2 linked regions of the Caenorhabditis elegans genome follow. The protein of the gene in region 2 interacts with the protein of the main gene of each other region in a pairwise test. Each region holds a gene or a part of one and is shown on either strand. Other genes may lie near its edges.

What was found.
Region 1: the proteins of arf-6 (region 2) and cnt-1 interact in a two-hybrid assay, tested with the Caenorhabditis elegans proteins (one study listed by BioGRID).

Annotation. Positions count from the first base shown.
Region 1 is NC_003280.10:12,085,525-12,090,826, forward strand, and holds the start of cnt-1 (Truncated cnt-1), read right to left. Parts: upstream 3,345-5,302; 5' UTR 3,338-3,344; coding exon 3,266-3,337; intron 3,221-3,265; coding exon 3,087-3,220; intron 2,949-3,086; coding exon 2,772-2,948; intron 2,118-2,771; coding exon 1,979-2,117; intron 1,097-1,978; coding exon 1,007-1,096; intron 1-1,006. UniProt on the Caenorhabditis elegans protein: GTPase-activating protein for the ADP ribosylation factor family. Regulates endosome recycling downstream of rab-10 and upstream of arf-6.
Region 2 is NC_003282.8:16,945,222-16,950,266, forward strand, and holds arf-6 (ADP-ribosylation factor 6), read left to right. Parts: upstream 1-1,898; 5' UTR 1,899-1,906; coding exon 1,907-1,988; intron 1,989-2,055; coding exon 2,056-2,159; intron 2,160-2,249; coding exon 2,250-2,347; intron 2,348-2,430; coding exon 2,431-2,531; intron 2,532-2,751; coding exon 2,752-2,812; intron 2,813-4,158; coding exon 4,159-4,240; 3' UTR 4,241-4,513; downstream 4,514-5,045. Other genes in the region: Y116A8C.9 (Transmembrane protein 185B), read right to left, coding at 1,095-1,191, 1,253-1,351, 1,404-1,481, 1,533-1,579; rad-54.B (DNA repair and recombination protein RAD54-like), read left to right, coding at 4,846-4,888.

The DNA of each region.
Region 1 (5,302 bases), on a different chromosome or scaffold from region 2:
GTGGAAATTTGATATTTTGTGTTCCCAAAAAAAGGTGCTGCACAAGAAGATGGAAAGAGCATTTCGAGGAGAAAAAGACGGGACGCGCGTCATCAAAAATGGCTAGGTAAATAAAGAAAAATGCAGTCGAGTGGAGGGGTAGTTTCGAAATATTTATTCATTTTTTCTCTATTCTTTGTCACTTTTTTTTTGGAAACTTCGAAGAAAGTGAAATTTTGGTTTTTTCCGGAATTTTTAATTTTTTTTTCAACAAAAAAAGTTATTTTTTACGACCAGGACTGGCATCAAAAATTCGACCGAAAAACAAAAAAAAATTTTTTTTTAATGTTTTTTACCAAATTTAGAATGCTAAACGGCTAAAAGTTGGAAGTTTTTGAATATTTTAATAAGAAAAATTCAAAGGAAAATGGCTAATATTGAGATGTTTTTTTTTAATTTTTGAGTAAAAAACGGGAAAAAAATTATTTTTGATTTTTTTTTACCAAAACTATAACTACAGTGGAAAAAAGTTTTTTTGAAATTTTTAGTGAAAAATTATAATGCGAAACTGCTAAAAATTGAGAAATTTTGTAATTTTTGAGTCAAAAAACTTTTAAAAAAATTTATTTCGGGCTTTTTCGCAAAATTTAAAATTTCAAAACTCTCAAGTTTTTGAGTTTAAAAATTCAAAAACAAATTTTTTAACAAAGTTCTAATGCATTACAGTTTAAAATAAAATATTTTGAATTTTTAGTTAAAATTTTTTTAAAAATTTTATTTTAATGTTTTTTTTTGGCAAAAGTAAAATGTTAAACGGCTACAAAAAAATTTATAAATTCTTAAATTTTTGAGCAAAAAATCAAGAAATTGATCTTTCTAAAACTCTTACAGCTAAAAATAAAATATTTTGAATTTTTTTCAAATTTTTGGAAAAAAAAAGTTTCCGTTATTTTATGTGATAACTCTCACATTAGCCGAGGGAATTTCTAATTTTTTTAACCAACAATTTTCAAAATTCAAAACGAACCGCATCGAGAATCATATGGTCCTTGTGTGCATGTGCAATATTAATATTTGCCACGTAGTCGAGTGTGGTGTGTGCGAAGCAAGTGCCGACCTGGAAAAGAGCGGGTTTCTTGGTTTGAAAAAAAAAATGTTTTTATTTGTTTAAGGGTTTTTGAGTGGTTTTTCTTGCAATTGAGACGCTTTGTGAGAAACTATTTAAGGTGAAGCAAAAAAAAAAACGACAAAATTGAATGTTTTATATAACCAGAAATTTTGATTTTGTTAAGAACATTTTTAAATTTTTCGATTTATTGTTTAAAAAATAGACTTTTTTTTTCAGAAAATTCTTTTTTTTTCAGTAACATTATTAAATTTTTATCCAAAAATTAATCAATTATTTATTTTAACAATTTCTCGAAAAATAAAATAATCTTGAAAAAAATAAAAAAGAAGATAATATATTTGGAATTTTTTTTACTGTAAAATCGGCTTTTTTTGATAAATCAATATTTCTTTTTTCAAAAAATTGATTGTTCGCTTTAACGATTTTTATATTTCTCGAAAAATATAAATCTTTAAAAAATTACAAAAGAAATGTTTTTAAATTTCTTTTCAGTAAAAATGGGCATTTTTCAAGAAAGTCGATTTTGAATTAGGTTTTTTTCTCTGTTTTTTTTAGTTTTTCGAAAAATTAAATTTAAAAAAAAAATTTCAGTAAAGTTAACATTTTTTTGATGAATCAATAATTTTTGTTGCAAAAATTAATTTACGATTTTTATATTTCTCGAAGAAAAAATTTTAAAAATTTACAAAAAAAAATCACTAAGTAATTTTTTTGGCGAAAAAAAGATATCTGTTTTTTAATTTGTAAAAAAAAATTTCAGTACAATACCTATTTTTAGAAAGAAATTTTTTTCAAAAATTTGGATGAATTTTTTTTTGGTTTTTTATCGAGAATTTCGAATATTTTTCGTTGAAAATTCAAAAAACTCACCGCAGTAAGTGCATTTCGCCCTTCTGTCGCATCTGCAGGCTTTTGCCTTGAAATACTCGCATTTTTGACTAATGCATCATCCATTGATTGGGACATATTCTCAAAATGTGCACGGGATTCTGCCACTTTTGTGAGCTCACTTAAATTAGATTTTAGAGGAAACATTTTTGAATTTTTTTTATTTCGAAAAATCTAATTTTTAATTGAATTTTCAATTTTCTGTTGTGAATTATGCGATTTTTGGTTAAAAACACTTGAATTTTGGCTGGAAATTTATTATTTTTCGAAAAAAATTGCCTTATATTGTTTTATACGTAAAATTGATTTTTTTTTTAATTTGGCGGGAAATTCAACTTTTCAAAAAAGATTTTTTTTTTGAAAAATTACCAAAAAACCCGAGAAAAAATCGAGTTTTGCCTATTTTTTTGCAAATTTTTTTACAGGAATTTTAATTTATTTAATTAATTAATTAATTAATTTTTTCCAATATAGAAATTTTTTTGAAGTTTTCTGGCTCAAAAATTTTTTTAAAATTTTTAGCTCAATCCAAATACCTTTAGTTCAAAAAAAATTAAAATTTTCGATTGTTCAAATTTGTCAATTTTCTGTACCTCTAGAATGAATAATCTAGTAAATCAGCGGGAAATTTGAATTTTTCACCTCTAAATTTAAAGTAAAACGAAATTTTGATTTAAATTCGCTTAAACTCGTTATTTTGTAATTTTCGGCCTTTTTAACTCAGAATTTATCGATTTTTATGATTTTTCGCCAAAAAAAACTCCGGAAATCTCACATTTTAATGAAATTCGACAGTTTCGTGAAAGTGACCACATTTGAATGGTCGAAATACGTGCGAAATAGGTTAACAGTGTGTGCATAGGCTTCTGATAATCCTTGGAATGTTGTAGACGCCAATGGATTGCCGGAGAAGCTTTCATCGCATAATTGATTCACCGAAACCGTTAATTTGCTGGAAAAAACGGGGATTTTTTGAGAAAATTTGAATTTTTGGTTTTGAAACGATTATTTTTCGCTATGTGCCTTTAAAATACAGTAATCTGAAAGCTTAATCGTTTCGAGACCCCAAAAATGAATTTTTTTCACGTACTAAAACGTGTTCGTATAATTTTTGCTGAAATCAATCATTGCAGTGATGTGTCGGAGCATTTCGTTGAGCCGATTCTCTAATCGATTAAAATACATTGCATGTTGAGCGACTGTTGCGCGGAATTTTGGAGAATCCTGCAAAAATTTTAGGTTTTTGGTGTATTTTGAGGGAATTTCTACCTGAATTGCCTCGGAGCAGTCGATTTTTGGCGGAACAGACGGCATCGCCATTCCATTGTTTGATACTGTCATAAAATCTGGAAATTTATCGATTTTATACGAAGAAATTGAGTTTTTTCGGCTGAAAATTGAGAAAAAATAATCAAAAATAATTAATTGATAATATTGCGTCGTCAATTTCAATGCCAAGTATGCAAACACCACAGGTGCACAGAACAAGATCTACCGTACTCTTCAATTAATTAATTGAAGAGTACGGTAGATCTGGTACTGTGCAGCTGTGGTGTTTGCGTACTTGGCATTGAAATTGACAGCACATGTTTATCAATTAATTAATTTGGTTTTTAAAAACGCAATTTTAATAGAAAAAATGTCGAAAAAATGGTAAAAAAACATTTTTCTCTTGAAAATTTTCATTTTTAATAGCTAAAAATAGAAAAATAAACTGAAAACAGTCTTGATTTTAAAAAAATTGCTTAAATTTTTCACTTGAAAAAAATTCAAAAAAGTCTGAAAAGTCCGATTTTTAGAAGAAAAACTAATTTTATCACCATTTTTCTGTACAAAAATTATCGAAACTTATGGAAAATAACAAAATTTTCCCAATGTTAAAATAAAAGTTTTAAGTTTAAATTTTAAAATTAATTTTATTTCCAAAATTTCGCAAAAAAAATCCTATAAAAACGACCAACAATTTTTGGGTAAAAAAACTTTTTTTTTGATAAGTGGCTGTAAATATGCCACGTGGCTTTTGAAATTAAAAAAAAAAACATTTTCAAATGTTTTTTTCAACAACTTAAACTTCCGTATGCGCCTTTAAAGAAAACCAAAAGTCCATATCACTCGCACAATAAAGGAAAAAGAGAAAAATTCCAAGACACGTAACAAAAGCCTCAGAACAGAAAAAAAAAACAGAAAAACAGCCGGTTCTTCTTCTCTCTTGCCGCTACGGCTGCCGCTGATGATGATGGTGATGAACAGGAAAACGAGGGAGAGAAATAGAGAAGAGACGCAGGCAGTTAGACGGCGGGAGAAGAACATCGCGACAACTTTTCGGACGGAGGTCATTGTGTTTGTGGGGGGAAGAAGAAAAGGACGAAATTTTTGGAGAAAAAGGACAGTCGTATATAAACATTCACTGCTTGTTTCTCTAGGAACTCTCTTGATTTTCAATACTCTTTTTTTGTGGAGAGAGCTTGAGAATGAAATTGGGTGAGAGGAGGAGAAGGGGAGGCACCGAGAGCGCAACTAATTTAATATTCTCTTACTTTGCTTTTCTAGGCAGACGAGAAAGAGTTACGGGGAAATTGGAATTTTGCAATGCAACAACATTACACATATGTACACGTGGTACCAGAGTCTTATTTCGGTTTGATCTACGCAGATCTACAAAAAATGCGGGAGTTGAAACGCAGACTTCTCAACTGACTTCGCAAGGTTAAGAGCGTGCTGACGTCACATTTTTTGCGGGAAAAGTTCCCGCAATTTTGTAGATCAAACCGTGTTGGGACAGCCTGGCACCACGTGATTATCCAACAAAAAATACTTTTTTCATCAAAATTTAGTGATAAAATAAAAAAATTTTTTTATCTGAAAATATGTTTTATTTGACTTGGAAACATTGCAAAAAAGCTCAAAAATTAATCGGCAAATCAGCAAACCGGCACATTACCGGAATTGAATTTTCCGGCGAATCGGCAAATCGGCAAATTGCCGGAATTGAAATTTCTGGATAATCGACAAATTTCCGGAATTGAAATTTCTGGATAATCGACAAGCTTGTCGGAATTGAAAGTTTTCGACAAATTGGCAAATTGCCAGAATTGAAACTTCCTGCAAATCGGCAAAATGACAAACAGCCGGAATTGAAATTTCCGGCAAATCGGCAAACCAGGCAACTTGCCGGAATTGCAGTTTTCGGCAAATGGGCAAAATGACAAACAGCCGGAATTGAGATTTTAGGCAATTCAGCAAACCAGCAAATTGCCAGAATTGAAATTTCCGGCAAATCGGCAAACTGGTAAATTGCCGGAATTG
Region 2 (5,045 bases):
CAACAAACTGGATTTTTTGCAGTTATTAGGGTAAAATGACCTGAAAATTTGAATTTTTGGCATTTTTTGGGGTAAAAAAGACTAAAAAACTAGATTTTTGGGCTAAAATACACCAAAAATCTAGATTTTTCTAGTTTTTTGGGTTAAAATACATAAAAATCTGGATTTTTAGCTGTTTTTAGAGTAAAAAAGACAACAAACTGGATTTTTTGCAGTTACTAGGGTAAAATGACCTGAGAATTTGGATTTTTGGCATTTTTTGGGGTAAAACAGACTAAAAAACCAGATTTTTGGGCTAAAATACACCAAAAATCTAGATTTTTAGCTGTTTTTAGAGTAAAAAAGACAACAAACTGGATTTTTTGCTGTTATTAGGGTAAAATTACCTGAAAATTTGGATTTTTGGGATTTTTTGGGGTAAAAAAGACTAAAAAACTAGATTTTTTTTGGGCTAAAATACATAAAAATCTGGATTTTTACGATTTTTTTAAAGTAAAAAAGTCCAAAAATTTTGATTTTTTCCATTTTTTAAGGTTAAAATATCGAAAAAAATAGATTTTTTTTTGTTTTTTGGGTAAAAACACCTCAAAATCTGGATTTTTTGAATATTTTAAAATAGAAAACCTTTTTTTATCGATTTTTTCAATAAAAAATTGGGCAAATTTGTGATTTTAAAGTTGAAAAATTGATTTTTCTTCATTTTTTTCATTTTTTCAGTGAAAAAGGAATGAATTTATGAATTTTCGAGTCAAAAACTGTAGAAAAATCGATTTTTCAGCTACTTTATTGAGCTTTGCTCTAAAAAATGAAGATTTTTCACTTTTTTTTCAAGCAAAATGGTCAGAAAATGTAGTTTTTTGGCTTGAAAAGGGTTATTTTTACACATTTTTGACCCATTTTATCGATTATTAAGGTCAAAACAAGCAATTTTGACAAAAAATCAAGAAAAAAACGCAATTTTTTCGGCTTTTTCTTGATTTTTGTCCAAAAAATTCGGTTTTTTCGCTGAAAAACTCGCTTTTCCACGTAGAAACTCGATTTTTGGCCATTTTTCTTCATTTTTATCTATTTAAATCCGCTTTTCCATCGTTTACCTTAATAAAAACCAGCGAAACAAATGTACAAAGAAAAATGTGCTCGGTAGCAGTGATTAGCATAGCCGAAAAGTCGACACGCATCACAATTTCGTTTCTGAAATGTCAAATTTCTTTATTTTTTCCACATTTTTCCAGCTTTTTCCAGCTTTTCCCACCTCGACGGTGGTTTTGAGCAAAAAGAGCAAATTCCGACGATGGCTCCGACGAAAACTAGGAGATTACAGGCCCATAGCGGCGCAAAAACGAATGCGTAGCTGGAAAAATCGATTTTTTCGGGAAATTTCTGATATTTTGAGGATTTCCAACCTAAATGAGACTTTTCCATCGAGTTTTAACGTGAATAATGCCGTGAAAATTAGCAGACAAGCGCAGAGAATTACTTTTCTGGAAAAAATTCAGGGTTTCTAGGTGAATTAGCTCGAAAAATAGACTTACGATGCGTTAAACGATCGGAAAAAGACTCCCAGACTTAATTCCACCATTTTTTGTTCAATTTTTAGCAATTTTTCATGATTTTTTCACTGAAAATCTGAAAAAATTGAATAAATCAATAATAAATTCGATTTATTCCACGAAAAATAAAACACGAAAACAATAAATCCCGTGCGCACCACTTGCAAATAGCACGCGCGCCGCTTGCAAAACTGGGCGGAGCCACGCGGAAATTGATTTTTTCTTCCTTTTTCCGCCGTTTTAAAGCGAATTTTCGCGAAAAATGACTCATTTTTGTTGATTTTTCAAGTTTTTTACTCAAAAATCGCACTAATTTCGGTATTTTTTGCCTAAAAATCACATTTTTAGATCGAAAAATGGGTAAATTCCTGTCGAAAATCTTTGGCAAAAAGGAGCTCCGGATATTAATGCTCGGACTCGATGCGGCGGGTAAAACCAGTGAGTTTTTGGCGGAAATTTCGATTTTTACGGCTAGAAATATGGAAAAAATCGATTTTTTTTCCAGCAATTCTGTACAAACTGAAGCTCGGGCAATCAGTGACCACAATTCCGACGGTGGGCTTCAATGTGGAGACTGTCACGTATAAAAATATCAAATTCAACGTTTGGGTGAGTTTTCCGCCCCAAAAACCCTGGATTTTGGCCTAAAAACCCCAGATTTTGGCCTAAAAACCCCCAAAAACCCCAATTTTTCTTCAGGACGTCGGCGGACAGGACAAAATTCGACCCCTCTGGCGACATTATTACACAGGAACTCAGGCGCTCATTTTTGTGATGGACGCCGCTGATAGAGACAGGTTTTTAGGCGAAAAATGCGGAAAAATTGGTTTTTTTCCTGGACAAAATCGATTTTTTCAACGGAAAAATTCGGAATTTTCAGAGTCGACGAGGCGCGAATGGAGCTTCACCGAATAATTAATGATCGGGAAATGAAGGAGGCGATTATTTTGGTTTTTGCCAATAAACAGGATCTTGCCGATGGTTTGTGGCTTTTTTGGCGGAAAATTTGAGCGAAATGAGCGATGCTACACCTAAAACTCGGAAAAAATCGATTTTCAGCTCAAAAATGAGCGATTTTACCCCGAAAAACTCGGAAAAAATCGATTTTTAACCTAAAAACTCGAATTTTCAGCTTTTTTTGCTTAAAAATGCCCGATTTTACTGAAAAAATGGATTTACTCACTAAAAATGCAATTTTCAGCGATGAAACCACACGAAATTCAGGATAAATTGGGATTGACGAGGATTCGAGACAGGAATTGGTAAGAAACATCAAAAACTCGAGGAAAAACTGATTTTTCTGCAAAAATACATCAAAAAACACCCATTTTCTCTCGGAAAATGGGTAGAAAATGCAGATTTTGGTGTAAAAATCAAATTTTTCCGATTATTTCTCACTAAAAATCTCGTTTTTATGCAAAAAATACAATTTTTTTAAATTTTCTCGGAGAAAAAGCATAAAATAGCGATTTTCGCTTAAAATTCCCTCAGTTTCTTCTAAAAAACCTCCAGAAACGAAATTTTTCTTCTTTTTTTTTAACGGAAAACTCTAAAAATTCGCCTTTTTTTCGGTTTTTTCACCAAATAATTCAGATTTTAAGGCATTTTCATCAGTTTTCGCACTAAAAATCCAATTTTCCACCTGACAACGCTCAAAATTAGAAAATTTATCGTTTTAGAGCCATTTTCCATCAAAAAATGCAGTTTTTCAGCATTTTTTCAGTAAAAATTCAATTTTTTCATCAAAGTGCTTGAAAATCGAAAATTTTCCGTTTTTAACCGATTTTCTAACAAAAATTCATATTTTCAACATTTTTTTTTCATTAAAAATTCAATTTTTCCCTTAAAAAACGCCCAAAACTCGTTTTGCCGGCTTTTCCCGTTTTTTCACAAAAAAAAAACCATTTTTCCATTACAAAGTGCTTGAAATTCGAAAATTCTCCGATTTTCGACCAAAAATTCCAGATTTTCAGCTATTTTAAGCCAATTTTTACTCAAAAACTCATATTTTCCACCTGAAAACGCTCAAAATTCAAAAAAAGTTCCTTTTTTTAACCGATTTTCTACAAAAAAAAAGCAGTTTTTCAACAATTTTTCACTAAAAACCCATTTTTCCTTTAAAAAAAATGTTCCAAACTCGAAAATTGTCGGTTTTTGGCCAATTTTCCCAAAAAAAATCGAATTTTTGCAGATTTTCAGCTATTTTCATCCGTTTTTCACGGAAAATCCAATTTTCTCATCAAAAAGTGCTTGAAATTCGAAAATTTCCGTTTTTACACCGATTGTGCACCTAAAATTCCGGATTTTACGGCATTTTCATCAGTTTTTGCACTAAAAAACCCATATTTTCCACCTGAAAACGCTCAAAATTCGAAAAATGTCGATTTTAAACCGATTTTCACCTAAAATTCCGGATTTTCAGCAATTTTTCCACTAAAAAAACCCATTTTTCCTTAAAAAAAAACGCTCCAAACTCGAAAATTGTCGGTTTTAGGCCAATTTTTCACCGAAAAAATTGATTTTTTTCAGATTTTCAATCAAAAACCTTCATTTTTCACCTAAAAATCCACGGATTTTCACCCATAATTTCCAATTAATTTCTTTGCAGGTACGTCCAACCATCATGTGCTTCAACCGGAGACGGCCTACACGAAGGCCTGACGTGGCTAAGCCAGAATTGCAAGCCGTAAAACACATTATCTGAAGAATTTGGAATAAAAAATTCGCGTCTTGCCAAATATTAACAGTATTTTTTTCACTTTTTATCTGCAATTTTTTCTGTTTTAAATTTTTTTTTAATTCAAAAAAAAAAAAATTTTTTTTTCAAAAAATTTTCAATCCCTTAAATTTTAACATTGTGTGTGCCATGCTTATTCCTATTTTCCCTCTCTTTAATTCACAGAAAATACTCGAAAAAAATGCTCAAAATGCTCCCCAAAAAAATAAATTTCCAAAATTTCCCCCCCCCCCCCCCCCCTAGGTGCCCAATTTTCACTTATTTCCCCACTGTTTTTCCCGAGTTCCCCCCCCCCCCCCGAAAAAAAACACTAAAATCACTGCTTTTCTCCCCAATTTTTGCTCCATGACCGAGGTTTTTCTCGGCCGCGGCGACCTCCAATTTTCTCCAAATATATTCGCTGCCATTATCTGTGATTTTATCGTTTTTTATGGAGAAAAATATATTTAAAAAATCGATTTTTTGGCCAATTTTATAGTTGATTTTCTTTAGGACGAAATATTTTTTGCTGCCAGATTTTCAGATTTTTAGGCCAAAAATTTAAATTTAATATTTCAGATGTCCCGAGTGGTTCTCAACGTGGATAGTTATGAGGGAAATGGTAGGCGCCTACGCCTATAGGCTGAAAATTTCTGAAAAATTGGCATTTTTGGCTGAAAAATTCGAAAAAAAAACGACCAAAAATGGTTGGAATCTGAAATCCACCATTAAAGGGGCGGAGCTTAGCCGGACAATTTTTTAGGGAACGCATATCGCCG